Linked DNA regions of Ovis aries. Each later gene encodes a partner of the first gene's protein in a complex. Links are inferred from orthologs where the notes say so. Each region holds a gene or a part of one and is shown on either strand. Other genes may lie near its edges. The genes, in order: NUP153, NUP214, CETN3, NUP160 and E3 SUMO-protein ligase RanBP2.

Evidence for each region.
Region 2: NUP153 (region 1) and NUP214 share a complex: the UniProt entries of both Homo sapiens proteins name them as parts of the nuclear pore complex. The link is inferred for Ovis aries from reciprocal best matches to the Homo sapiens genes NUP153 and NUP214.
Region 3: NUP153 (region 1) and CETN3 share a complex: the UniProt entries of both Homo sapiens proteins name them as parts of the nuclear pore complex. The link is inferred for Ovis aries from reciprocal best matches to the Homo sapiens genes NUP153 and CETN3.
Region 4: NUP153 (region 1) and NUP160 share a complex: the UniProt entries of both Homo sapiens proteins name them as parts of the nuclear pore complex. The link is inferred for Ovis aries from reciprocal best matches to the Homo sapiens genes NUP153 and NUP160.
Region 5: NUP153 (region 1) and E3 SUMO-protein ligase RanBP2 share a complex: the UniProt entries of both Homo sapiens proteins name them as parts of the nuclear pore complex. The link is inferred for Ovis aries from reciprocal best matches to the Homo sapiens genes NUP153 and RANBP2.

What each region holds. Positions count from the first base shown.
Region 1 is NC_056073.1:39,069,133-39,075,089, reverse strand, and holds part of NUP153 (nuclear pore complex protein Nup153), read right to left. Parts: coding exon 5,726-5,957; intron 1,658-5,725; coding exon 1,385-1,657; intron 1-1,384. UniProt on the Homo sapiens protein: Component of the nuclear pore complex (NPC), a complex required for the trafficking across the nuclear envelope. Functions as a scaffolding element in the nuclear phase of the NPC essential for normal nucleocytoplasmic transport of proteins and mRNAs.
Region 2 is NC_056056.1:5,535,915-5,541,871, reverse strand, and holds part of NUP214 (nuclear pore complex protein Nup214), read left to right. Parts: intron 1-1,678; coding exon 1,679-1,766; intron 1,767-3,891; coding exon 3,892-3,953; intron 3,954-5,957. UniProt on the Homo sapiens protein: Part of the nuclear pore complex. Has a critical role in nucleocytoplasmic transport.
Region 3 is NC_056058.1:87,598,897-87,605,407, forward strand, and holds the start of CETN3 (centrin-3), read right to left. Parts: upstream 3,736-6,511; 5' UTR 3,609-3,735; coding exon 3,592-3,608; intron 1,613-3,591; coding exon 1,477-1,612; intron 1-1,476. UniProt on the Homo sapiens protein: Plays a fundamental role in microtubule-organizing center structure and function. As a component of the TREX-2 complex, involved in the export of mRNAs to the cytoplasm through the nuclear pores.
Region 4 is NC_056068.1:76,461,994-76,467,950, reverse strand, and holds part of NUP160 (nuclear pore complex protein Nup160), read left to right. Parts: intron 1-776; coding exon 777-910; intron 911-1,778; coding exon 1,779-1,849; intron 1,850-2,717; coding exon 2,718-2,877; intron 2,878-3,506; coding exon 3,507-3,576; intron 3,577-4,160; coding exon 4,161-4,259; intron 4,260-4,977; coding exon 4,978-5,097; intron 5,098-5,566; coding exon 5,567-5,662; intron 5,663-5,758; coding exon 5,759-5,853; intron 5,854-5,950; coding exon 5,951-5,957. UniProt on the Homo sapiens protein: Functions as a component of the nuclear pore complex (NPC). Involved in poly(A)+ RNA transport.
Region 5 is NC_056056.1:62,035,047-62,041,497, forward strand, and holds the start of E3 SUMO-protein ligase RanBP2, read left to right. Parts: upstream 1-2,350; 5' UTR 2,351-2,363; coding exon 2,364-2,669; intron 2,670-6,451. UniProt on the Homo sapiens protein: E3 SUMO-protein ligase which facilitates SUMO1 and SUMO2 conjugation by UBE2I. Involved in transport factor (Ran-GTP, karyopherin)-mediated protein import via the F-G repeat-containing domain which acts as a docking site for substrates.

The DNA.
Region 1 (5,957 bases):
TGGTGAGCAGAAAGGGGGAAGAGGCAAGACAGGGGAGAAGTTAAGGGGTACAAACTATTCTGTATAATGTAAGCTACAAGGATATATTATACAACATGGGGAACGTGGCCAATATTTTACAGTAACTATAAATAGAGTATATAACCTTTAAAAATTGTGGATCACTATGTCGTACACTTAAATAATACTGGTCATCAACGAGATCAATACAAAAGCAAAAATAAAAGCCAATAAAAAAACTTAAAAAAATTATGTGGTAAAATTTCAGATACTGAGAAATAGCCAAAGTACTTGAAAAAACAAAGTAGTTATATACAAATGGGAGAAGCAAATATTAACCATGAGAAGAAATCACTAAGGCTAGGAAAAACAAAATGTTGTCTAGGAAAGAAAAATCACAGTATATCATACAATGTTTGCATATTTAACATAGTGATCTAACCACACAGTATCACTCTATTAGAACTGAAGGCATTCCTAGCTGTGTGAAAGAGAGCTAAAGTCTTCAATTTTGTATTGAGGGGTTGGGAATCATTAAATTCTGATTAAAATGATTATCATGTGTCACAGAACAGAAGAAATTTTGCTACATGTACTAGCTAACAAAATACTAACATTCAAAATACATAAAGAATTTCTACAAATCAATAAGCAGAGCAAAATAACCAATTAGTATTAGGGACCCAAAAAATTACAGAAAGAATTCACAAAAAATGAAATCAAGTAGCATCCAAATATGAGGATCTTCATTTAATGCTGGAACGATGTGAACTGGCACAATCCATCAGAAAGAGTGCGTATAATCTTGTGATGTACTAAGATGCACGCAGAGCTGCATGTTCTGACAGCTAAGAACAACTCAAACTTTCATCAACAGGATACGGATGGTCCAGTGGTTAAGAATCCACCTGCCAATGCAGGGGACACGATCCCCGGTCCGGGAAGATACCATGCGCCATGGAGCAACTAAGCCCGCACTCCAGAGCCTGTGCTCCACAGCGCGAGAAGCGACTGCAGTGAGGAGGCCGAGCCCTGCAGAGGAGCCTCTGATCACTGCAACTAGAGAAAGCCTGAGCGCAGCACCGAAGATGCAGCACAGCCAAACATACATAAATACATACATATGTAATAAACAAATCATTTATTTAAAACCTGCACCTGCCTTGTTAAAAAACAAAACAAAACAGAGTGCTTAACTGTGTTGGGAAGAGAGTTGGGAATGCTGTTTATAGGTAAATCTAAACATACACGTCTCTATTCTGCCAAGTACAAGAGATCGAAGAAAAGAGATGTGCATGGTTTCAAAACTCAAAGAAAAAAAACTGTACTGAAGACATACAAAACTCAAGTAGGGATACAAACTACACCATTACTGCATACTTACTGGAATTAGGAGCTGTTCCAGAGCCAAATGCAGACTGACTAGGCTGCTGCCCAAACACAGGAGGCTGTCCACTGCTTGACACTGTCCCAAAAGTAGGTGGTGCAGGCTGAGAACCAGCAGAAAATAATGCCCCTGAAGATGGTATAGATCCAAAACCTGGGGGGTTAGGCTGGCTGGCACCTTGACTTTGTCCAAATGTTGGGGTCTGGTTAGCACCAAACGCTGGACTGGCAGATGGTGCTGAAGCTCCAGTGCCAAACACAAAGGAGGATCCTAGAGACCCAGAGACACACTTAAATCACCACGGATGGTTAAACAGATAATCCTCAATTGTCTGTAAACTGAAATGCACATATCAAGATTGTTTGCAGACTCTTACCTTGCTGAACAGACCTTATCAGGACAAGTTTTGAATAACTGATGAAGAAAATACAATGCTTGCTACCATTATTTAGTAAAATCATACAGAATCCATAAAAACTGCAATTAACAAGATTCCTATCTTGCAGCCAAAAATGTTCAGGTCTTTAAATATCTAAGAAGACAACTGATCTCCTATCGGAAAGGCAACATAGTGCAGATACTGACTATTATGTGATCATGTATCCACTGCATAAAGAGGACTAACGTCTAATAAAATAATCTTCAGTGTCTGGTTATTTACACTAAAAAACACTTGAACAAACTAAAGACACTCTTAATGAGATGAGAAAATTGCTTCCAAGAGTTCCTTTCAGTTCAGTTGCTCAGTCGTGTCCAACTCTTTGTGACCCCATGAACTGCAGCACACCAGGCCTCCCTGTCCATCACCAACTCCTGGAGTTCACGCAAACTCATGAACATCGAGTCAGTGATGCCATCCAGCCATCTCATCCTCTGTCATCCCCTTCTCCTCCTGCCCCCAATCCCTCCCAGCATCAGGGTCTTTTCCAATGAGTTAACTCTTCACATGAGATGGCCAAAGTATTGGAATTTCAGCTTCAAAATCAGTCCTTCCAGCGAACACCCAGGACTGATCTCCTTTAGGATGGACTGGCTGGACCTTCTTGCAGTACAAGGGACTCTCAAGAGTCTTCTCCAGCGCCACAGTTCAAAAGCATCAATTCTTCGGTACTCAGCTTTCGTCACAGGCCAACTCTCACATCCATACATGAACACTGGAAAACCCATAGCCTTGACTAGACAGACCTTTGTTGGCAAAGTAATATCTCTGCTTTTGAATATGCTATCTAGGTTGGTCATAACTTTCCTTCCAAGGAGTAAGCATCTTTTAATTTCATGGCTGCAATCACCATCTGCAGTGATTTTGGAGCCCCCCCAAAATAAAATCTGACACTATTTTCACTGTTTCCCCATCTATTTCCCATGAAGTGATGGGACCAGATGCCATGACTTCATTTTCTGAATGATGAGCTTTAAGCCACCTTTTTCACTCTCCTCTTTCACTTTCAGCAAGAGGCTCTTTAGTTCCTCTTCTCTTTCTGCCATAAGGGTGGTGTCATCTGTATATCTGAGGTTATTGATATTTCTCCCGGCAATCTTGATTCCAGCTTGTGCTTCTTCCAGCCCAGTGTTTCTCATGATGTACTCTGCATGTAAGTTAAATAAGCAGGGTGACAATATACAGCCTTGATGTACTCCTTTTCCTATATGGAACCAGTCTGTTGCTCCATGTCCAGTTCTAACTGTTGCTTCCTGACCTGCATACAGGTTTCTCAATAGGGAGGTCAGGTGGTCTGGTGTTCCCATCTCTTTCAGGATTTTCCTCAGTTTATTGTGATCCACAAAATCAAAGGCTTTGGCATCGTCAATAAAGCAGAAATAGATGTTTTCTGGAACTCTTGTTTTTTTGATGATCCAGTGGATGTTGGCAATTTGATCTCTGGTTCCTCTGCCTTTTCTAAAACCAACTTGAACATCTGGAAGTTCATGGTTCACGTATTGCTGAAGGCTGGCTTGGAGAATTTTGAGCATTACTTTACTAGCGTGTGAGATGAGTGCAACTGTGCAGTAGTTTGAGCATTCTTTGGCATTGCCTTTCTTTGGAATTGGAATGACAACTGACCTTTTCCAGTCCTGTGGCCACTGCTGAGTTTTCCAAATTTGCTGGCATATTGAGTGTAGCACTTTCATAGCATCATCTTTCAGGATTTGAAATAGCTCAACTGGAATTCCATCACCTCCTCTAGCTTTGTTTGTAGTGATGCTTTCTAAGGCCCACTTTCACATTACAGATGTGTGGCTCTAGGTGAGTGATCACACCATCATGATCACTGGGTTGTGAAGCTCTTTTTTGTAGTTCTCCTGTGTATTCTTGCCACCTCTTCTTAATATCTTCTGCTTCTGTTAAGTCCATACCATTTCTGTCCTTTATTGAGCACATTCTTGTCCTTTATCCAGGCAAGAATACTGGAGTGGGTTGCCATTTCCTTCTGCAGGGGATCTTTGCATGGAATGTTCCCTTGGTATCTCTAATTTTCTTGAAGAGATCTCTAGTCTTTCCCATTCTGTCATTTTCCTCCATTTCTTTACATTGATCGCTGAGGAAGGCTTTCTTATGTCTCCTTGGTCTTCTTTGGAACTCTGCATTCAGATACTTATATCTTTTCTTTTCTCCTTTGCTTTTTGCTTCTCTTCTATTCACAGCTATTTTTAAGACCTCCTCAGACAGGCATTTGCTTTTTTGCATTTCTTTTCCATGAAGTGAAGTGAAGTCGCTCAGTTGTGTCTGACTCTTTGTGACCCCATGGACTGTAGCCCACCAGGCTCCTCCGTCCATGGGATTTTCCAGGCAAGAATACTGGAGTGGGTTGCCATTTCCTTCTGCAGGGATCTTCCCGACCCAGGAATCGAACCCAGGTCTCCCACATTGCAGGCAGACGCTTTAACCTCTGAGCCACCAGGGAAGCCCCTCTTTTTCATGGGGATGGTCTTGATCCCTGTCTCCTGTACAATGTCACAAACCTCCGTCCATAGTTCATCAGGTACTCTATCAGATCTAGTCCCTTATATCTATTTCTCACTTCCACTGTATACTCATAGGGGATTTGATTTAGGTCATACCTGAATGGTCTAGTGGTTTTCCCCATTTTCTTCAATTTCAAGTCTGAATTTGGTAATAAGGAGTTCATGATCTGAGCCAGTCACTCCCAGCCTTGTTTTTGCTGACTGTATGGAGCTTCTCCATCTCTGGCTGCAGAGAATATAATCAATCTGATTTCAGTGTTGACCATCTGGTGATGTCCATGTGCAGAGTCTTCTGTTGTGTTGTTGGAAGAGGGTGTTTGCTATGACCAGTGCATTTTCTTAGCAAAACTCTTAGTCTTTGCCCTGCTTCATTCTGTACTCCAAGGCCAAATTTGCCTCTTATTCCAGTGTTTCTTGACTTCCTACTTTTGCATTCCAGTCCCCTAGAATGAAAAGGACATCTTTTTGGGGTGTTAGTTCTAAAAGGTCTTGTAGATTTTCATAGAACCGTTCAACTTCAGCTTCTTCAGCATTACTGCTTGGAGCATAGGCTTGGATCACCATTATATTGAATGGTTTGCCTAGGAAACGAACAAAGATCATTCTGTTGTTTTTGAGACTGCATCCAAGTACTGCATTTCGGACTCTTTGGTTGACCATGATGGCTACTCCATTTCTTCTAAGGGATTCCTGCCCACAGTAGTAGATATAATGGTCATCTGAGTTAAATTCACCCATTCCAGTCCATTTTAGTTTGCTGATTCCTAGAATGTTGACATTCACTCTTGCCATCTCCTGTGTGACCACTTCCAATTTGCCTTGATTCATGAACCTGACATTCCAGGTTCCTATGCAATATTGCTCTTTACAGCATCAGATATTGCTTCTGTCACCAGTCACATCCACAACTGGGTGTTGTTTTTGCTTTGGCTCCATCCCTTCATTCTTTCTGGAGTTATTTCTCCATTGATCTCCAGCAGCATATTTGGGCACCTACCAACCCGGGGAGTTCCCCTTTCAGTATCCTATCATTTTGCCTTTTCATACTGTTCATGGGGTTCTCAAGGCAAGAATATTGAAGTGTTTTGCCATTCCCTTCTCCAGTGGACCACATTCTGTCAGACCTCTTCATCATGACCCACCTGTCCTGGGTGGCCACCAAGGCATGGCTTAGTTTCACTGAGTTAGACAAGGCTGTGGTCCGGAATTATATTAAACTCAAAATGTACTTCATTCCACACTGAGTAATTACAACATCCCAGCTAGAAACGACCTAAATGCAGCCATGCCTTCTTGTGATATTATACACTAAGAGATCATCTACTTATAATGAAAGCCAATTCAACTACAACATGTTTTTGTCTTTAAACGTACCTGCAGAGCTAGATGTGGTTGTAGCTCCAAAGTTGAAGCCAGAGCTTGCAGCATTATTACTGCTGGCTCCTGTGCCAAAGACAAATGGGGCGACAGCTGTACCCGTGCTTGATGTGGTTGCTGGTTTGCTGTCTTGAGAAAACAGCAAAGACTGAGATGTACTAGATTCGGCAGCATTTCCAAAGGCAGAGCTGCTCACGGGATTGCTGGCCTGTCCAAACACAAAGGCAGC
Region 2 (5,957 bases), on another chromosome or scaffold:
ATCATTTAGGATTCAAATTAAGAAGTTTGTTTCCATTTCTGGCTAATATTTTAGAAGAAAGTTTGAAAGATTATATATCCTAACCTCTTTCAAGGATTTTATTGGAGAGTTTTTTGTCACTCTTGAAATTAAGAGTCAAGAACATCTCAGGGGCAGTTAGCATGACTTGGAAAGAAATTTCTAAGATTCATCATTCAATGATGATTGTGAAATATTCACTCTCATTGCTAGATGTCCTTCTGTTTCTATTTGCCAGAAACAGACTTTTTTTAGCAGGAAAATTTCCCTGAAAAACACTATTTAAGAGTTTGCAAAAACTTCTAACAAAAACAAAAAGTCATCTCTGAAACCTCTATAGAATAATTCCCTTATTAATTAATAATGGAAACACCTTCATTGTTTTCCTGATTTTAAAGCTGTTGCTGCTGCTACTGCTAAGTCGCTTCAGTCGTGTCCGACTCTGTGCGACCCCATAGACGGCAGCCCACCAGGCTCCCCCGTCCCTGGGATTCTGCAGGCAAGAACAGTGGAGTGGGTTGCCATTTACAGGACCACAAAAAGTCTACCGTGTGGAACTGTATAATGTAGAAAATTTGTAAGTTCCCTATTCCAGAGATAATAGCCCTCAAAGAATTGATGTGTCTTGGGGTTTGATGTATATCTGTTGGTTTCTTTAAACAAAGATAGCCATATCCTGTATATACTGATCTGTAATCTGTCCCCTCTCCTCCCTTCCCCCAGGAAAATATCATGTTCATCTTTTCAGGTCTGGTATAAGTCTGCCTGTCTCATTTTAATCCCTTCGCTGTACAGTTGTACCCTGTTCAGTTTTTACCAATACTCTGCTGATAGTTCAGATTGTTCTTAACTTTTCAGAATTATAAGTAAGGCTGCACTAGACATCCTTGTCCGCATCACGTTGTATTATAGTAGTGTTTTAGATAGTTTTGCAAATCTTTACTCCATACTCATGTAAACAGAAGATGCTTTTTCTTATTGTTTGGGTTGGTTTGATTTGGGCTTCTCGAGTGTAATTCCCCCAGCCCTCTTCTCCTTTTAGAAGGAGAGGGAGAGGTGGGGGGGAGAGTGTGGGTACTGCCCCAGCCTGTTAGTGAGCAGCCACAGTACACCACATGTGGGGAGACGACGGGCTACACTTTAACTCTCCACTCTTCTCTGTGTGACAGCAGTCGTGTTACCTCTGTAATAAAAAATAAAGAAGCAGACCTGTTATTAACTAATAGTAATACAAGAAGTCTCTGGAAAAACAGATGCGGCGAGAAAGCCAGCAGCCGTGAAGTCACTACTCAGAGATGTTTCACATGACCTGTTTCCCCTTGGAGTTTCTTTTCCTTTGACATGTATCACATTTCATTAATTGCAGAATCTACTTTTAAAGCCTTAAATTTGACCTGCACTCCAGTTACTTTGATGTCTTTCCTGGAAAGGGTAAAGTGGCATGCCTTGGTTTGAAATTGACAGTTGACAGGGCCAGAGAGCCCATTCAGAGACCTTGAGCACGACCGAGTCCTCACTCTCCCCTTGACTGCTGACCTACAGGAAGCACGTGACCTGGGGCTGCGCTTTGCGTGGCACTAAGCATTCAGTGCCACAGAGAATTAAACTAAAATGGTGTTGGTTTTTTTGTAATGCTCTTCTTTTTTTCCCATAATTCCAGGACCAGTGGCAACCAAGATAGAAACAGCTGTGACTTCTACCCCGTCTACTGTTGGGCAGTTCAGCAAGCCTTTCTCATTTTCATCAGGGTCAGTTGTAAACTTAAGTTTTGTGGCAGATCACAAAATCCTTATAGATTGCTTCTCCAAATCTTATAGTCAGCGGGTATACTTATATGAAGCCAGAGTTCTTATCTCCACAGTGACACATTTAATGATAGTGGGAGTAGCTTAGTGTCCTAATGTAAATCTGTTTGCCCTTTTCGATTCAGTTTTATATGTGTGTTCTTACTGGCTTGTTTGTTTTGTTGTTTAGGATAAGCCTTGTTTGGGTAGTGGGTCTGTGGTTGCTCTAGTTTATCACACCGAGATCTTTTCATTCTGACACCATCTGGCGGCTGGGTGAGACCTTGGATTGGCTTCGCTGCCCCGAGAGGTCACATTATACTAGACTGCTGAGCAATCAAGACAGTGGCCATTTAAGAATTGGGGTTTTATATAGATGTGGGGAAGTCCATTTCTGTTTCATTTTTTTTAAAGTGATGATGTCTGTACTTGTCAAATTGAGTTATTTTTAAAAACAAAAGGGTCTTCTAACCCTCAGTCCAAAGGAAGTTCTTATTAACGTTGGAGGGGGCATACCTTTTCACTATCCTGCGAACACTCATCATGAAACCTGTGAGAGTTGGCAGAGCATCTCTCTTCTTTGGGGTGGAGTTAGTCTCTGTGTGGCTGAGATAAATACTCATCCAAAGATTGTTTTCACTGTGAAGGGTTGCACATTCAGTTCCACTAGAAAAGTCTCTTAAGCTCTTCCAGTTTATGCTTTTGTAACTGGAATCACACTGACCACAGTCTCTTTTCCCTGCTGTGAGTTTGTTTCTTGAACACCCTTCAGCCTAACACATTACGAGAAAGGAGGGTGTTAGAATAGAATTTTAAGGGGGAAATCATATATATTTTCCTGTAAATCATTAGTTTTCTACTCCCCAAAGGTAGTTTGGAGCACAGTTTTAGAGAGTAGGTCAGTTCCAGGAGCTACCGCATCTGTTAATTAATCTTTACTTCTGTGAACCTGATACTCTTCTTCCCGTCTTTAAAATAACCTACAGAGGTTTGGGTCATAGGTCAGCTGCTTACCTCTGTTACATCAAATTTCTTCACCAGAGTTGAGACAAAGAAAGAGATTTGTTTTCTTTTTTTTAAGATGATAAAATATTTAACACATCTTAGGTGGTCTTGGACCATTTGATGAAGCCAGTGACGAGTTTAAAAAAAAACCCAACTCTACTCTTTACTGTTACTTACTCTTTTTGATATGCTCGGCTTTTTATCAGGTTGCCCAAAAAGTTCGTTTGGGGTTTTCCATAACATCTTACAGAAATGCCTAAATGAACTTTTTGACCAATCCAACAGTTTTTAATTTGCTATTTGAACTTTTCTCAGAATGAGTACTCCATTCTGGCTCAGCTGGTGCTGAGTTTTCTTCTTTGCTTATATTGTCTTCACTCACAGGGTGAAGAAAATGTACAGAAAGAGAGGAGAGGATGAAAAGAATCAGATAGGTTTTTGAGGGACTTTTCCTGGTGGCCTAGTGGTTAGGGTACAGCTACAGCGCTTTCATTTCTGTGGGCTGTGTGCAGTGCCTGGTCAGAGAAGTGAGATCCCACAAGCCACTTGGTGCAACCAAAATTTTTTTTTTAAAGTTTCTGAACCAAATTTCCCAGCCGAGGACTAAGCGTTTTGTCCGAACAGCAAAGACAGTGGCTTCCATTTCATACTGTCTGTTGTCTCCCCCAGTGGCATGCGCTGTCCTGACGTGCTCCCTGGGTGGGTCATAGGCTCCTCCTCACCTAGCCCATCCCGTCCGCCTCACTAGGCGAGCCAACCGCTCCAGCCACCATCCCAAGGCACAGTCCTAGTGCTCCTTCACTTTCCTTGAAATAGGTCCCCACCCCCTCTACCATGGGAAGCCTGGCTGTTCCTCCAAGGCCTCCTCACTGGCTGCTTCCCTCTCACCTCACCCACACATCGCTCCCCCCCACGCTCTGAGAGCTCTGCGCTGCTGCTTCAGAGGCAATGCGCTTGCTGATGTTTATCGATAGATTGCAAGTCCCTGAGAGTAGATTATGTGAATGGATTATAAATGTACTGTTAAAGGGCAGTGTTGCGCCTTAAGTCTGTTCGTTTTTAACTTCTTTTCTTCCACCCCTAGGACTGGCTTTAATTTTGGGATAGTCACACCAACACCGTCTTCTAACTTCACTGCCACACAAGGTACAGTCTCTGCATTGAGTCGCCTCACTTTCGTGTTTCCCTCTAAACAAGTGCAGGTTTGAGGGAGGCAGGTTGGTTGACATTTTACTTGCTGCTGCATTTTGCTTAAAGTATCTGCAGTGAACTTGGTGTTGATATTATGCATTAGAAATAGGCTGGATTTAAGAAACTGTGGGGAATGACTTTTGTCTTCATAGTTAAAAACTCAGAAAGGGTTTGCTTTTAGAAAGGCAAGGCTGTGCTTTAAATGTGAATGTTTACACGCAAATTAAAATTTCTTTCTCCATCTTTGTCATATGGTATTTAAAATTATATCAATTTTTAATAATCATAATATGTAGTGAAACTATATGTAACTTTGTTCTGTATTTTCCCAGTTTCCTGTAGAGTGTTATCATACTTTCATAATTTAAAAAAATTTTTTTTGTTTGTTTTGTTTTAAAAAAATTTTTTAAATGAAGTCAAAATTGTATCAATTTGTAGGTTGAGATAGGCAATGGTAAAGAATCCACCTGCCAAGGCAGGAAACGCAAGAGATGCTGGTTCAATCCTTGGGTTGGGAAGATCCCTTGGAGGAGGAAATGGCAACCCACTCCAGTATTCTTGCCTGGGAAATTCCATTGACAGAGCCTGGTGGGCTGCAGTCCACGGAGTCCGACAGGCCTGAGTGATTGAACACACACGCAGTACTGTAGAAAGGAAAGACTAAACTCGTGTTTCTTTCCTTGATAACCTATCGGGAGACACACTTGTCCCGCGCACGCTGGTGCAGATCTGCCAGCGTCTGTTGTTGTTTAGTCACTGAGTCAGGCCTGGCTCTTTTGCAGCCCCATGGACTGTAGCCCGCCAGACTCCTGCTGTCCATGGGGTTGTCTGGGAGTTGATTGCCATTTCCTTTTCTTGGGGATTTTCCCAACCCAGGGATTGAACCTGAGTCTCTTGCATTGCAGGCAAATTCTTTATCACTGAGCCAGCTGGGACGCTCAGACCAACATCTACCAGCATGTTTTTAATGTTTAAAAGACTTTGAGGACCTATCAGAAACCAGATGTATTTTTTAAGTGCCTTCAAGTTCTCAGTTCAAAGTAATTGAGTTTACTTCTGTTTTAAAAAGAAAGCTTTTATTATAAAAGTGTTTATATTTTTTATTAAAGTAATATGTTCTAGAATTACACATTGTACCCTTAACCATTCAGTTCTATTTCCTTTTGGGATTTTTTGCTTCTACCTTTTCATTTAACACAATCCTTGTGAGTTTTCCAGTATTAGTGAGAGTCTTGTTTAAATGTCATTTTTAGTGGCTACATAATTTGTCATGCAGATGTGCCCTAATTTATTTAACCATCCCCCTCTTGAACGGTTCAGGCTTTTTCCAGGTTTTCCTATAATAAATAAGACAATGACCATCTTTCAACTTTTCCTTCAGCATGTACTTTTACGAGTGCTTTTCTGTGTGTCAGCCCAAGTGATGAACATTTTTTGGTAAAAAAGGGATCTCTTAAAATCTGCTAGAGGGATATTCGGGAGCTGAAAGCATACCAGGCATCTTAAACCCAGTCTGTGTGCGGCACTTAAAAGGTTGTTGATTTCATTCTGTCTTTTCTGTCTGGAGCAGTGATTCCTAAACGGTTCTGTCCACTTAGATGTGGACCACTTGAGGCCCACTCCTCTCCCGAGTCTCACTTTCTAAAAGAAAAACAGCTCAATGGTATAAAAAGATTGGCAAGAACAAAATAATTGTCAGAAATCCTAAATGAAATACATTAGGAATAAAACACAACAGAAATTCCATAACCATTTTCATTAATACTCGAACAGACAGCAATCCAGAATCACAAGCAACTCAGTACAACTTCAGTGATACAAAGAGGGGTTTCTGGAAGTTATCTGCAGATACCAGGGGCTTCGCAGTGTTCCCAGGTGTTTGTGATAGCTAGACTTCTTAAAACCACATGGAGCTAAACACCTCAACAGGCCCTTGCAACAGACCAGTTTCCATTTATA
Region 3 (6,511 bases), on another chromosome or scaffold:
GGGCATTTAGAAAAGAATGACTAGTACTAAAACACACAAAGAAATACACAATAGGCTTGAACACAGTGAACAGAGCACTTTACCTTACCTGAATGGGGAAAGATCAGGTAGAAAAAAAGCAGTTAGCAAATGAGAAAAGTACGTGGTAGTAAAAGTGTGGAAGGCATTCAATGCAAATAAAAAAAACCTGAACTCTATCTAGTGTACAATGACGAGCCACTAAGTATTTATGAGCAATGAATAACATGAAAGAATTTTAGAAAGATGAATCTAATGACAGTGTACAGGAAATGGAGAAACCAAGTTCCAGATATAAAAAATCACAAACCAAGATAATAAGAATGGCCACAAACAGAAGAGACATTATAAAGGAAGTGAAGTGAAGTCAAAGTTGCTCAGACCCGTCTGACTCTTTTCAATCCCATGGACTATAGAGTCCATGGCATTCTCTAGGCCAGAATACTGGAATGAGTAGCCTTTCCCTTCTCCAGGGGATATTCCCAACACAGGGATCGAACGCAGGTCTCCAGCATTGCAGGCAGATTCTTTACCAGCTGAGCCACAAAGGAAGCCCATAATAAAGGAAGAGCTGATCAAAGCTAGGTAACTAAACCAGAGGGAAAGTAAGCTAAAGAGCCACAAGGATGCTACCTCACTCATTGTGCTGAGTTTAAGATCCAAACTATCTTAAACACCAATTTCCCCTTGATTATTTATAAAAAATTCTAAAACTTAAAACTGATATTTTTCCCCATTAGCACTGCATCAACATCAGACACCACTTATATCATCTGAATAAGAGAAAATAGGTTGAGACTGTTACTAACATGTTTAAATTAGAAAACAAATAACACTGCCTCAATCTGAGAAATGAATGAGTCATAAAAAAACAAAAAAAAAACATACAATAGGAAGAGGAATATGGTTAGACTGTTTAAATCCTTCAGTTTCAAATATTTTAATTATGTGAATGAAAAATAAGCCCCTCTATAGGAATATATTTTTACATTTAAAATATTATTCATTTTACCATGTGAAAAGGAGTTTCTAAAAAGATACAAGTACTACTCAACTTTTGGAGAAGGCAATGGCACCCCACTCCAGTACTCTTGCCTGGAAAATCCCATGGATGGAGGAGCCTGGTGAGCTACAGTTCATGGGGTCGCTAAGAGTCGGACACAACTGAGCAACTTCACTTTCACTTTTCACTTTCATGCATTAGAGAAGGAAATGACAACCCACTCCAGTGTTCTTGCCTGGAGAATCCCAGGGATGGGGCAGCCTGGTGGGCTGCTGTCTATGGGGTCACACAGAGTCGGACACGACTGAAGTGACTCAGCTTAGCTTAACAGTAAATGTTTAAAATGGTTTACATTTCCAAAACCAGTTCAATTAAAATATTTAGAAATGCATTTTTAATCAGTGGACAAAAATGCAAAATGTTTTAATAGAAAAGATATATTTTAAGTGTATTACCTTTAATTCATGATAATCTATTGCTTCATCTTTGTCTGTGTCAAATAGTTCAAAAGCATCTTTAATTTCTTGTTTCTGTTCTTCAGAGAGTTCTCTTCTTTTTTTCCTCTTTGTTTTGTCTACTACAAGGTCATTTCTATGGAATGATAAGAAAAAAGTCTATTTAGTCCACTTTAATCCTATTGTCATATGCTTCTAAATGATAAAATTCCAAAAATGCAACAAAAAAATTAGCCAATGAATGTTTTAAACTTCTAAAAAGTATTTTATAAAAAATTTCCTTACATGAATCAAAGCCCTGCTCAATCCATTGTCTAAGCTGCTTTAAATTTGTACCTCCCTAAAACTGAAAAGTTTTACAGTTTTAAAAGGTTATTAAAAGAAATGAGGACCTAGCTTTTCCTCTTCCTAGCTTTGTATTCATTCCCACTAATATTACTGTGGAAGAAACAAGAACTGTGAAAAAGAAACAGTTCTGTCAGAAACCCCAACAAAAAACAAACACCCATACTTATTCTCATCATTCTACAATACAGACTGTTTTAAAAAATAAGAATTCAATTCACAATTGTTGATCTCTATATATTAGGTTTACTTTCATAGTGCTTAGAATTATCAAAATTATTGCCAAAAAATCTAATTCATCAATTAATTTACAAACTATTTTGGCACAGTTTAGACTAGTATTTTTAGACTACACATTTTAAACTGGCACTTTTTTGTAATTTCTCCCATTGATATTAACAAATCAGCCAAAATAATGAACGTAAGCATACCACGAATATCAAACACCAAAAAAGTACTTAATATTTGTGGTATTTTATTTATATATAAGGTGAAGAGTCAACTGTCTCATAAATCTCAGCATGTACATCTAGACAGTTTGTCACAAACTCTGAAAAAACTTAAAGTACAAAACGTAATTTACTCTAAAAACTAGAAATGTATTCCTTAAGAGGTGCCAATATAAGCATTTCAAATTTTCATATGGGGCTTACAACACTTGTACAAGCTTTGAAACAAGAATTCTATAAACTTTAAAAATGTAAAAACCAGTTGACTTTTCTTTAATTCTGTGAAATCTACTCTAAAAAGGCAAGAGATGACTAGAAAATGACCAAATGAGGTTATGATAAAGCTCTTTCTTTCACAAGAGACCTGAATTCACAAAAACTTGGAAACTCCGGGGGTTATTCTCTTCCCAAGATTCCGACCAGACCAAAGTTCACAACCCACCGACAGTAGACCTCATTTCCTCGTCAGAACTCGCTTCCTTTTTACTGAAGCGTAACTACATAAACACTTTTAAGGTAAAACTTTTAGTTGTGGTTGGGAGAGGGAGCAACAAACAGTGGGTTAGAGGTTGGAAATGAATGAAAAGTAAAATCAGAAAATTTAGGAAAGCTAAGAGATTACCAACTAAAATCACTAAAAGGGGCCTCTGATTATACCCTTTTGCAGGGCCCCAGGAGAAAGAGGAGAGGTTTTGCGTTGTTTCCAAAATTTACGGGTAAATATGTTAGTAGGGGGCTTCCCAGGTGGCTCAGTGGGTAAAGAATATACCTGCAATGCAGGAGACGCAGGTTTGCAAGATCACCTGGAGGAAGGCAGGGCAATCCTCTCCAGTACTCTTGCCTGGAGAAACCCACACCCAGAGGAGCCTGGCGGGCTACAGCCCATAGGGTCACAAAGAGTCTGACACGACTGAAACGACTGAGCACGCATGTTAGCAGAAAGTCGGCCGAGATGGAAGCCGTGGACAAGGCACTGAACCAAGGGATGCTCCAAGGCCTGGTTTCCCGGTTTCTCGCATAAACACCGCGCATTGAAACCTCGCGATATTTCCCTGCCTCCTCAAGACTACCTCAGCCCGGCTTTTTGGCGGTCTAAAGCCAGTGCCCTGACAGAAATGACCGCCTCAGCTAAAGTGCAGAGCTCACCAGGGCCCCCAAGGGGAGGGGTCTGGGCCCGGGAACGTTGACCAAGGATCCCGTCCCTCGTCCCAAACTGCATTCCCTTCCTCGCTTCGGCCCCCAGCTGTTTCCCTTCCACACACAACCGCCCTGGGGCCCGCTGCGAGGTGTGGAGTGCATCTGCCGTCTCCTCATTACCGACCTCAGAGCTAAACTCATTTTCTCTTCGGACTGAGGCGTTCCTCTCGAGAACGATTTTAACCCCCTACCCAGAGCAGCAAGACTTCCACAAGCCGTTCGACAGACGCCAACGACCCTCAGCGGTCTCAAAAACCTCCCACAAAGCAAGACACTCCTGAGCTGGATTGGTTGAAATCGCTAACGTCCTGCCCATTGAGGCGAAAGCGTCACTTGTCCTCTGCTCTCATTGGTCTTATTTCACGTCAATCAAATAGATCTCCCTGCCGGCATCCCCTGCTACGCCTCTCCCCCTGTAGATTGGCCTGTTGCTTTCCGCCCCACCCCCACGCCCCACCCCAATCCTAGAGAAGCTAGGACTCAGGTGGGAGGTGGCGAGCTATGCTTCTGACCAGAAAGGCTGTGGCATGTGGCCCAGTGTCCGGAGACCCGGTGGAAAGGGAAGGGATGAGATACGCCGCAGGCTCTCCTCCGGCTAGAAGGAGGGAGCGGCTTTCGAACTGTGTCTGCGAAACTTGACTCTACTGTATTGTACATTTTTGGATGGTTTGAGTACATGGGGAGTGTGTTTAAAACGCAGATTTAAATATCACTCATTCTAATTTCTAGTAGGTGTGAATCTGCATTTTTTTATACAAACTTCAAATGATTCTGAAGCAGATACTGCGGATTATATTTTGATAATCACTGAGTTGGATTATTAGGCTATTTAAGGTTGAAGCTGTACCTAAGGGCCATTTGCTCCCCTATTCCTCCTTTGAACTGGTTTGTTCGTTTTTGTCCTTTATTTTCGAGTGCTGTAAGCTGCTTATACTCATGATGTTATCTTCACCACCAAACGAAGTCTCTTAAAGCTCACTTGGACATTTAATATCTTTACTGTTCATCTCTCCTACTAATCTTAAAAGGCTTATATCCTTCATTTAACACTATTCCTAGTGCCTAAAACAATGTATGATTCGTTGTAAATGTCTGATGCCTCTGCTCCGTAGATATTTGTTGCATTAAATGGAATCTTGCTGTGAAAAATCGCAAAGTACTGAGCTAAACTGCAAATCTCAAAAAGGAATGAAATAGCCAGAGAGTAGGTGTCCAGTAACAGAAGAGGGAAGATATTGATATATAAAACTGTGGCATAAATATAAAGAGATACATGTACACGTTTAGAGAAGAGAGAGAACACAGAAGGTATAAGAAAGACTTCTTGAAGGAGATGGCATATATGTTAAGCCTAGAAGGATGAGCTAAATTTGGGTAAGTAAAGATGGTAAAAACATCCACTTCCACTTTATTGACTATGCCAAAGCCTTTGACTTTCAGATCACAACAAACTGTAGAAAATTCTGAAAGAGATGGAAATACCAGACCACCTAACCTGCCTCCTGAGAAATCTGTATGCAGGTCAAGAAGCAACAGACTGGTACCAAATCAGGAAAGGAGTACGTCAAGGCTGTATATTGTCACCTGACTTATTTAACTTATATGCAGAGTACATCATGAGAAACACTGGTCTGGATGAAATACAAGCTGGAATCAAGATTGCCAGAAGACATATCAATAACCTCAGATACAATGATGACACAACCCTTATGGCAGGAAGTGAAGAGGAACTAAAAAGCCTCGGATGAAAGTGAAAGAAGAGAGTGAAAAAGTTGGCTTAAAGCTCAGCATTCAGAAAACTATGATCATGGCATCTAGTCCCATCACTTTGTGGCAAATAGATGGGGAAACAATGGAAACAGTGGCTGACTTTATTTTACTGGGCTCCAAAATCACTGCAGATGGTGACTGCAGCTATGAAATTAAAAGACACTTGCTCCTTGGAAGGAAAGTTATGACCAACCTAGACAGCCTATTAAGAAGCAGAGACATTACTTTGTCAACAAACGTCTGTCTAGTCAAGGCTATGGTTTTTCCAGTAGTCATGAATGGATGTGAGAGTTGGACTATAAAGAAAGCTGAGAGCCGAAGAATTGGTGCTTTTGAACTGTGGTGTTGGAGAAGACTCTTGAGAGTCCCTTGGACAGCAAGCAGATCCAACCAGTCCATCCTAAAGGAGATCAGTCCTGAATATTCATTGCAAGGACTGATACTGAAGCTGAAACTCCAATACTTTGGCCACCTGATGTGAAGAACTGACTCGTTTGAAAAGACCCTGATGCTGGGAAAGATTGAAGGCAGGAGGAGAAAGGGATGACAGAGGATGAGATGGTTGGATGGCATCACCGACTCAATGGACATGAGTTTGAGTAAACTCCAGGAGCTGGTGATGGACAGGAAGGCCTGGTGTGCTGCAGTCCATGAGGTCGCAAAGAATCAGACACGACTGAGTGACTGAACTGAACTAAACTGAAAGATGGTATAATAGCTCAGACAGTAAAGCATCCACCTATAATGCAGGAGACCTGAGTTGGATCCCTTGGTGGGGAATATCCCCTGGAGTAGGAAATGGCAACCCACTCCAGTATTCTTGCCTGGAGATTTCCATGGACAGAGGAGCCTGGCAGGTCACAGTCCATGAGTGTTGCAAAAAGTCAGAGATGGTATAATGAAGTAAAGCTAAGAATTATAGCTACAGGATAGCCCCCCAAAAAATAACAGAACTAAAAACTCTAAATTTTAGAGTATAAATCACCTTTGAGTCTAAAAGGACAGTAAAACTGCAATTACACACTAGACAGTAATGACAATGGAAAACTATATTAAAATGGTAAGATACAGACCAAACTATAGAACAAGGTTATTTTACTATTAAATAAGAATAAAAGTAAACCAACATTAATCTGAATATTTTAGAAATGAACAAAGTTAACTAATTGAAATTAGGAAGAAGAAATTACTAAAGATAAAACAACAAGAAAAGAAAATAGGTTTTTAGAAGAAAATTGTGAAAGTAATTGATAAATAGTCTCATAATCTAATAA
Region 4 (5,957 bases), on another chromosome or scaffold:
TAAATCAGAATTCATTAACTCAAGTACATGGCTAATGGCAGAATTTCTGGTAAAAGATAAGGAGAAAACATTCTGGAAGATGATTGGTTTAGGACCACCAAGGAGAAGCAGGACCCTTTCCTGAAAGTTGTCTGTCTCTTTGCCTCACAGCTCATGGGATCTTAGTTGCTTGATCAGGGACTGAACCCAGGCTTTGGCAGTGAAAGCCCAAGTCCCAGCCACTGCACCACCATGGAATTCCCTTTGTGGTTTTGTTTTTTGAGTTTGTATTGTATTTTAATATTTATTTATTTGGCTGCATCCAGTCATAGCCGGTACCTTTGGGGTCTGTTCCCTGACCAGGGATTGAACCCATGCCCCTAAAGTAGAAGCGTGGAGTCTTAACCACCAGACCAATAGGGAAGTCCCAAAGCGACACACGTTTTTAAGGCTACTGATATTCTTGTCAAGCTTTCCTCTAATGCTCGTATTTATTTTACCCAAAACAAGAAGATTAAGAAATGTCTTAGATTTCCCTGTTCCTCTTCTTGGTGAAAGTTAAGCAGTCTGTTACCGTTTTCTTTTTCGCCATCAGCTCCTGTGGCCTGGTGAGCTGTTTTTGTTATTTTGCGCTGATAAGTGGGTAGATCCTTTTGCTGCCTGCTACCCCAAACGCAATGGGTGTGTCGCTTTTACGTATGCCCTTTGTAACTGTGTTATTTCACCGCCACCTGAACCTAAGGGTTATCCTTACTAAATACTATTTCCTGTCTCACCCACCCACCCATGACATACAGGTAATCTTGGGAGCTGGCCAGCTCTTTCAAGCCCAGCAAGACCTACTGCATCGAACAGCTCCCCTGCTCTTATCTTATTACCTCATTAAGTGGGGAAGTCAGTGCTTGGCAACTGATGTTCCAGTTGACACCTTGTGAGTTTCCGTGTTCTGATTATTTTAGAAATAAATTGTGAGCTTGATGATTCTTTTCCACTGTCTAATAGAAAAGCAAATTGAATATTGTGCTGCAGCAGGATATGCCTGTGACGCTCAGAGCTTTCAGATAGCTCCATTATCTAAAGGTTAGAGGCAAGTTATAAGAATGAAAATGATACAAGAAGAATGAAAGCAATAAATATGTATTATTATTATATGTGTGTATGGATAATGTAGAGACAAATCCTGTGGAAAGCGAAAGAAGAAGATGAGGTCACTTTGCTGTATGACTCGGAGCTCAACCTGGTGCTCTGTGACAACCTGGGAGGGTGGGATGGAGGGAGAACCGGGAGGGAGGGGACATTTCTGTGCCTGTGGTTGATTCATGTTGACCTGTGGCAGAAGCCAGCACAATATTGTAAAGCAATTATCCTTCAGTTAAAAATAAATAATTTTTTTTTAAGTTGAGGTCACAGAGAAAGTTAGGCCACGTACGAAAATATGCTAATTATCAAGAGTAGACTGAGATTCTTTATAACCAAAGTAAGAAAGAAAATTTAACGTGTGCCTAACAGACTGACACTTCAGTTAGATAAGCCACTTTGCTTAAAAGGACAGGGAAGTCTTTTCATGGCATGGAGGCCTAAGCAATTTTTGCCCTGGCTTCGTGAAGGATCGCGGGGTGACATGATGGGAAATAATCTAAGCCACAGCTCACTTTCCAGACACTTCTGTGCTCTCAGTGGCGCAGTCATGTGCAGTTTATTAGTGAAACTGACAGCGTTTTAATCAGCTAACTGGTTGAAGTAATGTTAGCATAGGAAAATTTATTGAGCTTTTTTGGTTTTTCCCCCTTTCCTCACAGGGAGTCTAATCTTCAACATTTATCAGTACTGGAACTAACTGACTCTGGTGCTTTAACGACAAATAAGTTTGGTAAGGATTGGACTGTGTGTGCATTTGATTTTAAGTTTGGCATTTATTGAGTGTCCATTAAGGTGGTCTTTTGCCGCCTTGCTTTAGCAAAGGTGCCTCGGCTGTGCTTTCAGTTTGAGAGGGTGTGAGCAAGCTGTGTCCTGAGACCTCTCTGGTTGTGACAAGTAGTATCAGATCAGACAGAAATGAAGAGTGTTGCCTGTATATATGCACACGTGTGTCCCCAATCATGTCCAACTCTCTGTGACCCCCCAGGCTCCTCTGTCCATGGGATTTCCCAGGCAAGAATATTAGGGTAGGTTGTCATTCCCTTCTCCAGGGGATCTTCCCAACCCAAGGACTGAATCCATCTCTCTGGTATTGGCAGGCAGATTCTCTACCACTGAGCCACCTGGGAAGCTGTGTGTGTGGGTGTGGGTGTGTGTGTGTGTGTGTGTGGTGTGTGTGTGTGTACCCCCAGTGGTTAATCATTTTTTTAATTTACTAAGTTCGTATAGCTTTTGTAATCTTGTCTCCATCAGCAGATATTCAAAAGGAGTCCTCTCTCATGCTTGAGAACCATTCTGGAGAGTTTATTCTGTGTTTTGGTATAAAATTTAGACTCTTAGGACTATGTTTATTGGAAACACTTTGAGAGGAATGGCGTGACTGTCATGTTAATTTAGTGGCTCTTTTATTGTATTTGTATAGTACTTCATAGTTTACAGATTGCTTTTATTTATATTGCCATTGATTATACCAGTGATGCGTTTTACGTTTTTAAATAATGTTCTTTGTGACAGGCGTAAAATGAATTGGTAGGCTGTCTTAATTGAAAATTGATACTACTGTCACAAATTGGTGACTGTTAAAACTTTTTATTTTTAAGTATCTAGCCCTCAGACAATTGTGGAATTATTCTTCCAAGAAGTTGCAAGAAAACACATTATATCTCATCTGTTCTCTCAACCAAAGGCGCCTCTAAGCCAAACTGGATTGAACTGGCCAGAGATGATCACTGCAGTTACCAATTATTTATTGCAGCTCTTGTATCCTTTCATTTAAAAGCTAATTGAGAGGGGTTTTTTTCTATCCAGATAGTCTAAGATTCAGGAATATTCTGCCTGTGTAATGAAAAATTTTAATGAGGTTGGATGTTTACCACCCTCCCCCTCCCCATCCCAACGAGAAATGATAGTTATTTTCAGGTATCCCTTTTTTTTTTTTTTTTTTTTTTAATTTTTTTTTTGCTCAGGGGTTGAGCCACATTTTATTGGTGCACATACAGTTAATACCTAGGTTGCTTTTAAAGCATACATTTATCAAATATTTATTGAATGGCTTTGTATGCCAAGCCCTGTGTTAGGTACTGAGTATCCATTGGCCTAGTATGCTTGGGCAATATCCTAGCTAAAATCAGAAGTGAGCACCAAGAGGTGAGATACATGCCTTAGTTCTTAGCTGGTTGCATTCTAATGCAGGTGGCCAGGCTCCTAGTGTATAACCTTTCCACTGTGTTTAATATTAAAGCTACATAGTTGTGTAGGAAGAACATGTGTTGTACCACCTTCTATTTACCTTCTTTTTAAAAATTAAGCCATTTCATGGAGTTTGGGTGCTCAGTGTGTATATTTAAGCTTTACCAAAACAGTAAACAGTTGCCTTAACCAATGACTAGATGGCCTAGCAATCCTGGTTGTCTCTTTCTAGAATGTTTGATGGGAAATTGTCAGTATGTACAATTGCAGGTGAGTACCGTTGAACATTTCAGGACAGTTATTTTTGTAAAGAAGGGGATTTCTGGAACTTTTTTCTTTGTAAATGTTTCTTGAATTTTAATTGGGCTGATAAGACCCACATTAATTTACACTGGATTACATGGAAACATACACCAGAGAGATTTTCTTTACTTCATTCTTGGCAGTATCATTCCTAACACAGTGTTTTATGAAGTACTTTTTTGTTAATTCTCTCTATTGGGATCTCTTTATAGAAAGAAAACGTATCATTGTCTTCATATAAATCCTTCACTGGAATCTAGTCAGTTGAGCCAGTAAATACCAAAAGTTGGAAGATTGCCAAGATGGAAAGTGTGTTTGTTTTCGTGTGATAGTGTTATTAGAGTCCAGTTTGCTTTCTTAGCGTGTCTAAGAACTTATTAATAATTTAAGAATGGATTAACAGGGTTTGCTTTTAACCTCCAGATGCTTTCTGGAAATACAGCTTTTGTGTTGAATGACCACTATCTTCTCTCCCTCTGAAGAACATGGAAATGAATATCTCCTTAAGGGACATTTATCTTCTAATCAGAAACCACCTTTTTGCCTTTAAGGATTATATTCAGTTGCTGCATCCCTGGTGTCAAGTCAACGTTGGTTCCTGCCGATTTATGCTGGGACGATGTTACCTGGTTACGGGAGAGGGACAGAAGGTAAACTGCATCTGAAAGATGAGCAGACTTTAGAGCAAGGAGGACACTCAGTTTCCATCTCAGGGAGGGGATTGGAGGCCTAGAATCCTCCAGATAAGGGTAAAGAAGACTAACAGTGCCAGCAAGGGGCATGATCTACCCGTGGGGACCATTTAGCTTCATGTACTTTACAGATTGTTTAGGACACAGGAAAATATGAAGAAGAATACTTTAAAACCCTCCTGCCCCTGTGCAGTGCTTATAGGGATACATTTTTGTGACGAAAATATTTCTCAGATACATTGTTTTTATAGCATGTTTTTTTATGCTGGTTTTTTTTTTCCCATTATGGTAGTTTACATTTCTAATTTTTTTCCCTGACATCCTGTTATGTAAACTTTCAGACATAAAAGTCCAAAGACTTTCATACTAAATCCCCCACTCAGATTCTACAAAAATTAACATGGTGCTATAGTTGCTATATCACTGGTATCCATCAAATATCCTCTTAAAGTTTACTTTGTAATTAGCAACATTAAATTAAAAAGTTAGATAAATTAAAATATTAAATAATGCATCAGAGAATTTAGATACAACAAACAGTAAATGCAGTCATTTACTTACTTAAATAATTTTCTTTCTTTTTTTCGGCTTTTCTCGGTATAAGAACTCTTGGCTCATATTATCTGGAAGTGGAACAATCTATTATAAGTCATTTTGTATCCTTCTATTCCTTCAGGCTCTGGAATGTTTCTGCCAGGCAGCATCCGAAGTGGGCAAAGAGGAATTCTTAGATCGCTTGATCCGTTCAGAGGATGGAGAGATTGTGTCCACCCCCCGGCTGCAATATTATGACAAGGTTCTGGCATGGTTTGGTCCTTCTTACACCACACTGGGTAAACATGTAACAGGGGCAGGGAGGCAGATAAATGAGTGTGGGGTTAGCATATACACTTGATATATAAACTAGGTAGACGAGGACCTACTCTGCAGCACGAGGAGCTGCACTCAGCGTCTTGCAGTTCCGACCCCGCCGGGTCTCTAGCTGCTCGAGGGCGCTCCAGCTGCGTCGAGCAGGGGCCCCTGTGCTTGCGGTGCTCGGGCTTCCCACCGCAGCGGCTCCTCTTGTAGCAGCGCGCAGGCTGCAGGGGCGCGGGCTGTGGTTGTGCCTCAGTGGCTTAGCTGCATGTGGGGTCTTCCTGGGCCAGGGATCGAGTCTGTCTTCTGCGTTGGCGGGTGGAGTCTTAGGCACTGGCTCGCCGGGGAAGCTGAAACATGAAATAAAGTGAATTGTATCCAACCTGAAGTGCCCTCATATTTCTCCCTAGGTCTTGCGTCTGCTGGATGTCGTAGGTTTGCCTGAACTGGTTATTCAGTTGGCCACATCAGCAATAACTGAAGCAGGTGATGACTGGAAAAGTCAGGTGAGGACTAACTGTGTCCTGTTTATTACCCTGGAGCTTCCTCATGGGTATGGTGTTCTGATTTCTGTTCTTTTTTCCCCGACATTTGATACTTAGGCCACCTTAAGGACGTGCATCTTCAAACATCATTTGGATTTAGGGCACAATAGCCAAGCCTATGAAGCGTTGACCCAAATTCCTGATTCCAGCAGGTAATCAAACCCACAGTCTTACTTAGAGGAGGCATTTTACCAGCCCTGTGTAATCCACAAGGAAAGTGTACACTCGTACCCCTTTCTTTCCTTCCAGGCAGTTG
Region 5 (6,451 bases), on another chromosome or scaffold:
TTACTCCTTTTCAGTATATTCAACTAAAACAGATTAAGGCAGTAATTTTATGTGCTTGCCAAGGTATGCTTGGCAAGGTTGCTTTACTGTTCACACCCTCCGTTTCCTATCTGTCCACCTGGGCATAAGAACAAATAACAGTACTTTCATTAAGTTGTTGGGAGAATAAGTCAGTACATGTGATGTTGAGCTGCAGGCCACAGGCCTTGCCCAGGTTCAAGACTAAAAGCCCAGAGTAAGCAACAGGAAGAAGCACAAGCTGGAATCAACATTACTGGGAGAAATGTCAACCTCAGATATGCAGATGACACCACCCTTATGGCAGAGAGTGAAGAGGAACTAAAAAGCCTCTTGATGAAAGTGAAAGAGGAGAGTGAAAAAGTTGGCTTAAAGCTCAACATTCAGAAATCGAAGATCATGGCATCCAGTCCCATCACTTCACGGCAAATAGATGGGGAAACAGTGGAAACAATGTCAGACTTGATTTTTTTGGGCTCCAAAATCACTGCAGATGGTGATTGCAGCCATGAAATTAAGACACTTCTTGGAAGGAAAGTTAAGACCAACCTGGATAGCATATTCAAAAGCAGAGACATTACTTTGCCAACAAAGGTCCATCTAGTCAAGGCTATGGTTTTTCCAGTGGTCACGTATGGATGTGAGAGTTGGACTGTGAAGAAAGTTGAGCACCGAAGAATTGATGCTTTTGAACTGTGGTGTTGGAGAAGACTCTTGAGAGTCCCTTGGACTGCAAGATCAGCCCTGGGTGTTCTTTGGAAGGAATGATGCTAAAGCTGAAACTCCAGTACTTTGGCCACCTCATGCGAAGAGTTGACTCATTGGAAAAAAACTCTGATGCTGGGAGGGGTTGGGGGCAGGAGGAAAAGGGGATGACAGAGGATGAGATGGCGGGATGGCATCACCGACTGGATGGACTTGAGTTTTAGTGAACTGCGGTAGATGGTGATGGACAGGGAGGCCTGGTGTGTGGCGATTCATGGGGTCACAAAGAGTCGGACATGACTGAGTGACTGAACTGAACTGAAGCGAGGGGAACTTACCCACCTGAAGCGAGGTCTTGGAGCAACATCCCCAGGTGTGTAGCAGGACATAGGGGCAGGCTCACTCCCTTGGGGAAAGGGATACTACCAATTAGAGAGGACTTGACCTCCTGTTAGAGAAGGCAATGGCACCCCACTCCAGTACTCTTGCCTGGAAAATCCCATGGATGGAGGAGCCTGGTGGGCCACAGTCCATGGGGTCGCTAAGAGTCGGACATGACAGAGCGACTTCACTTTCACGCATTTGATAAGGAAATGGCAACCCACTCCAGTGTTCTTGCCTGGAGAATCCCAGGGACGGGGGAGCCTGGTGAGCTGCTGTCTATGGGGTCGCACAGAGTCGGAAAGGAGTGAAGCGACTTAGCAGCTGCAGCAGACCTCCTGTTGACTCATTATTTACCAAGGAAACCAGCAGAGGGACTCGCTCCTCACCATCCCTTAGATTAGTTAACATTAGCTGGGGTCTGGACCAAGTACCCTCCCAGACCAGCCACCCTTATTCACATCCAACAAACCTGAAACAAAACACACCATGATGGTTTCCCTCTTTATAAAGAAAATAATTGCTCACTGTAGAAAATTTGGAAAAATGGAAAAATCAAAAAGGATAGCCTGTAAGAGGCCAGATTAGCTCTAAGTGTTGAATAAAACTATTTTAAAAGGATAAAAAGTATCCATAACCATAAATCCTGAACTCCCTGTATACACAGGATGTGATCTTTTCACTACTGAAAACATTTTCTACAACTTGTCTTAAAACTACGTCCGAAAAATTCAAATTCCAAAAGAGCGCTTAGATATAGCCGACTGGCGCCGCGGCGTGACGTCAGCACCGGGAACAGCGCGTCCGGCTCGAGAGCCTGAGGGAGAGATATTTCCGGACGAAGCTGCTACCGGCAGGTGTCATCTTTAAGCACTTTCAACCGCGTCACACACCCCACGAGCTTCGCGTTCCCGCGCTGCGCAAGCGCGTTCACCTCTGCGCGCCGGCGTCCGCGGGTCTGCGCGGCGCACAGGATTGACGCAGCTCTCACGCATGCACGCACCCACGCAGGCGCGTCGCCCTCTCTCCGGCGACGGCGCTGCGTCACGGACCTTCGGGCGGCGCGCTCCCGAGACGACGGCGGCCGCTGCGGCCTCGGCGCTGGCGTTCGTTATCCAGAGCCCAGTCGGCGGCAAGATGAGGCGCAGCAAGGCCGACGTGGAGCGATACATCGCTTCGGTGCAGGGCTCTGCCCCGTCACCCCGGGAGGTGAGCGGGCCGGGGCCATGGCCTCCGGGCGGGCCCACGGCGGCGGCGCCATGTCCCCCGCTGAGGCGCGGCCGGGCGGCCGGCGGCGGGCGGCGGGCGGGAGACGGGGAGGCGGCGGGCGGGCGTTGGCTCTCTCTGTTTCTCTTCTTCCTCTTTCGTTTCCTGCTCTTCGTTCCCGGCGCTCGGGCGTCCTGGGCTCCACGCCGAGGCGCAGCCGCCCCGCCGCCTCTCACTCACCGCTTTGGAAGCTGCTTTCCGGGCATTTTGTTTTTCAACGGAGTTCCGGGGGTTCTGAGTTTCCGTCCGGGCCTTGTTTTTGGAGTAGACTCTGTGGCTTTCCGGCGACGTCTCTCGGGGTACTCTGCCATCTCCGGCGTAGTTTGGGAGCTGGGTGCCCAGGGGATCCCGCGGACCTTGATGCCAGAGGGTGGGCGGAGGGGGCCCGGACCCGGATTCGCTGCCCAGGGCCGAGTCGCAGCTCCGCCAAGCACGCGCTGTGGGATTCGAGACAACTGCCGCTTATTTCATTAATAGGTTGGGAGTTAGGGTATCGATAGGAGTTTTTAGGATGGGCTATGATAAACATTTAGGGCAGTGCTTGGCACGTGGTAAGCTCTCAGTAGATGTGGCTGTTACAGGGACAGTCATTCCAGGTGTTCTGGGCCGGAGCCTATGCGAATAAAGATGTATGAGGAAATTAAAACCAGCGAACAGTCAGGATTGTAACGGCACCGTAATAGTGTCTTGGTTACCACATACTAGGCATATATTATTTTACTTTGTGCTCCCGACATCCGTATCCCTGGGGAATTCAAGATACTTTTCCGGGGGCACATGGTAACCCAGCAGGATTTTGGCAGTGGGTGTGATTTCTTTTTTTCAGGAGTATGGAGTGGGTTACAGCCTATGGCTCTGGAGGAGGGGAATAGGTGCCAACCTTCAGGTTGTAACTTCCAGCTGCTGGCATAGCTGTGAATACGAATGTACCTACCAGAGTCAAAAACAGGAGCTCATTAATCATTCTCTCTGTCCCTGAAACTGATGTGGCCGTTTTTTGTTTTTTGTTTTTTTCTTCTAAAGCAAGTTAAGCGCTTTTAAGAAATTTTTAGTGGGCACCCTGGCTCTCCAAAGCCTTAAAAACCACTGTCTAGACAGGAATTAGAATGTTCTTTGAACTAGGGAACTTTTCCATCAATAAAGAAGAGTGGGCACAAAACTTTAAGGATTGGTTATTATTGTCACCTCTTTTACATTTATAAAGAGTTATTATAATCAGATGTTTTTCTTCAGACAAGGAGAAATCATTGACTTTTGAACCTGGGGACTTCAGTGGGATATTGATTAGCAAGTGCAGTAGATAACTTTGGGTCCCAGATAAAGACCTAAAAGAGGTGCTTTAATCATAATAGAAATGTTTAAAATAATAATTCAAGGAGTTAACATCCTTTAACTAGCTATAGTTGGACTTTACCTGATATTTAGCAGCCTGATACCTGGATCTCAAGGACATAGACCAGGAAGAAAGGCTTCAGGTGGCAGGAGGAGAGGGTTAGGGGACAGCCAATGGGGGACCGATTCCACTTCCTGCAGGAGAAGCGCTTCTGCTATGATTGGAGTCACAGTTGTTGCATAAGCTAAAGGATTGCTAATGAACATCAGGAGAAAACTTTGATAGTCAGTGTCCTGGAGAGACACTGCAGGACAAGGTCCTAGGTGGACCTCTAGAGAAGCAGAGAGTAAAGAGAATCCCCAGATTCAGCTGTTTAAAATCTGGTGCTAAAATAGCAAAGTTTTTATTTGGTTTCAGTTGATTCATGGGGCTTCCCTTGTAACTTGGTAGAATCTGCCTGCAGTGCGGGAGACTGGGGTTTGATTCCTTTGTCGAGAGGATCCCCTGGAGAAGGAAATGGCAACCCACTCGGGTATTCTTGCCTGGAGAATCCCATGGACAGAGGAGCCTGGCAGGCTACAGTCTCTGGGCTCACAAGTGTTGGACACGACTGAAAGATTAAGCACACAGACTAAAATAGGACACTGAGGGAGGCCTCAGGTGCAGAGTTGATAAAGGCTTGCTTCTCAGGAGGTCCTGGGGTGGATCTCCAGGAATCGGGGATGGGTGTTCAGAGTAGGAAGGTCCCTTGCCCTCAGGATCCTGATTAACCTCAAGAAATGAACTGTGAAACTTTTAAATTAGACTTTGGTAAGAGTATATTAGGTCTTCCTGGCTTCCCAGGTAGGTCAGTGGTAAAGAATCCACCTGCCAATACAGGAGACTTGGGCTTGATCCCTGTGTTGGGAAGATCCCATGAAGAAGGAAATGACTACCCATTCCAGTATTTCCTGGGAAACCCCATGGACAGAGAAGCCTGGTGGGCTAGAGCCCATGGGGTCCAAAGAGTCGGACATAACTTAGCAACTGAAACAAAATAAACAAAAACTTCGGAACACATGACAATACTATAATCGTGGGTGTAAGTGAACATGGTGCTTTGGCCAGGTTGGGAGGGAGATGGTAGAGGGAGCAGAGACAGTGGCTGTGAAGAGTATAAAAAGATTAGGGTGTCTGTACTTGGTACCCAGTTGGGCAGACACTGGCAATGTTGGACTAAGTGCTGTGATGGGTCCATAGTCATATATCTTCCCAGGCTTCCACTCATCTCTTGACTTCTTTTGTTTTGCCATTTTCTAGTCCTTTACACCTGCTTTTGATTTTGTTAGGACTTTGCAAGTGGTGCAGTTGGTAAAGAATCTGCCTGCCAATGCAGGAGGTGCAGGTTCCATCCCTGAGTCTGGAAGATCCTCTGGAAGAGTAGATGGCAGCCCACTCCAGTATTACTGCCTGGAAAGTTCCATGGACAGAGGAACCTGGCGGGCTACGGTCCATGGGGTCTCAAAGAGTTGAACGAGACTGAGCACACACAACCAATACCTGCTTTTGCTTTTACTGAAAATATGATTTCCTTTTTTTTTTCCCCTGATGGCTTCTGTTTAGTTTTTCTTAGTTTTATATCTAGTTTTATATCTTAGTTTCTTAGTTTTATATCTAGGTTTTTACTCCACGCCCCTGATTTCCTGCTTCTCAGAGGCAGCTTCACAGCTCTTAGTTATTTGTTCTACCTTAAACATCTGTATGTCATACTTCTGAGTAATGTACATATTACAGTTGCTCGTCGAACAGCACAGATCCACTTACATGAAGGGTTTTTTTGTGTTTTTTTTTCAATGAATACATAGAGCAGTGCTATGGGATCCACAGTTGGCTGAATATGAAGATGTGGAAGCTTGGATATATATGGAGGACCCAGGGTTCTGGAGGGAGAGTGTGTGTGTGTACAGGGGGACGACTGTTAAGTATCCATAGATTTTCAACTGTGCAGAGGGTCAATGCCCCTAATCCTTGCTTTGTTGATCTACTTTTCTCCATTTTAAACCCTTTCTACTGACAAAAAATGTCTTTACCTAATGTTTCATTGGGTTGTCAAATCTAGGTTTGAAATAATTTTTTTCTTCATTTTGAGAGCATTGCTGCATATTTGCAGTGTGCTGTTGGAGGTTATATGTGGTTCTTATTCTTGATAGCCTATAGGTTTTCTGGAAGTTTTCTTTCAGTTGACAAACTTACTTCCTTCGCTTCTGGAACATCTTGTATTTCATTGAGCATTTTTTTCTTTCCTCTCTCCCTCTTTTTTTCCTATTATCTTTCTGGTGTTCTTATTGACTGAAAAGTTGGTTCGGGTTTGGCCATCCACATTTTTCTGTCTTCTTTGTTTCTTCTGTTGTATTTTTTGATAGATTTCCTTTAACCTAACCTTCCAAGAGAACAGGATTAGGAACTCACTGTTGGGTACCTCAACTTTACTTGTCCTCTCTATAACCCTTACCCCTCACCCTTGTCAGGAATCCACAGATTTGGAGCCCATCAGTTTATAACCCATTCGTTTCACCTTTTGCAGAGAGTGTATACGAGAGGGGCAGTCTGTTGGCTGTGTAAGGTGAAGGGCAGTATGGTGTCTCTCAAGTCTGAATGTTCCTGTTTTCAGCCCCACATCAGTTGATGCTTAGCAGCTTAAGTGAATTCAGGCATTTGCTTCTAGTGGTGTGAAGTGTCATGGAAAGCAGCACTGAGGGAACCAGATTG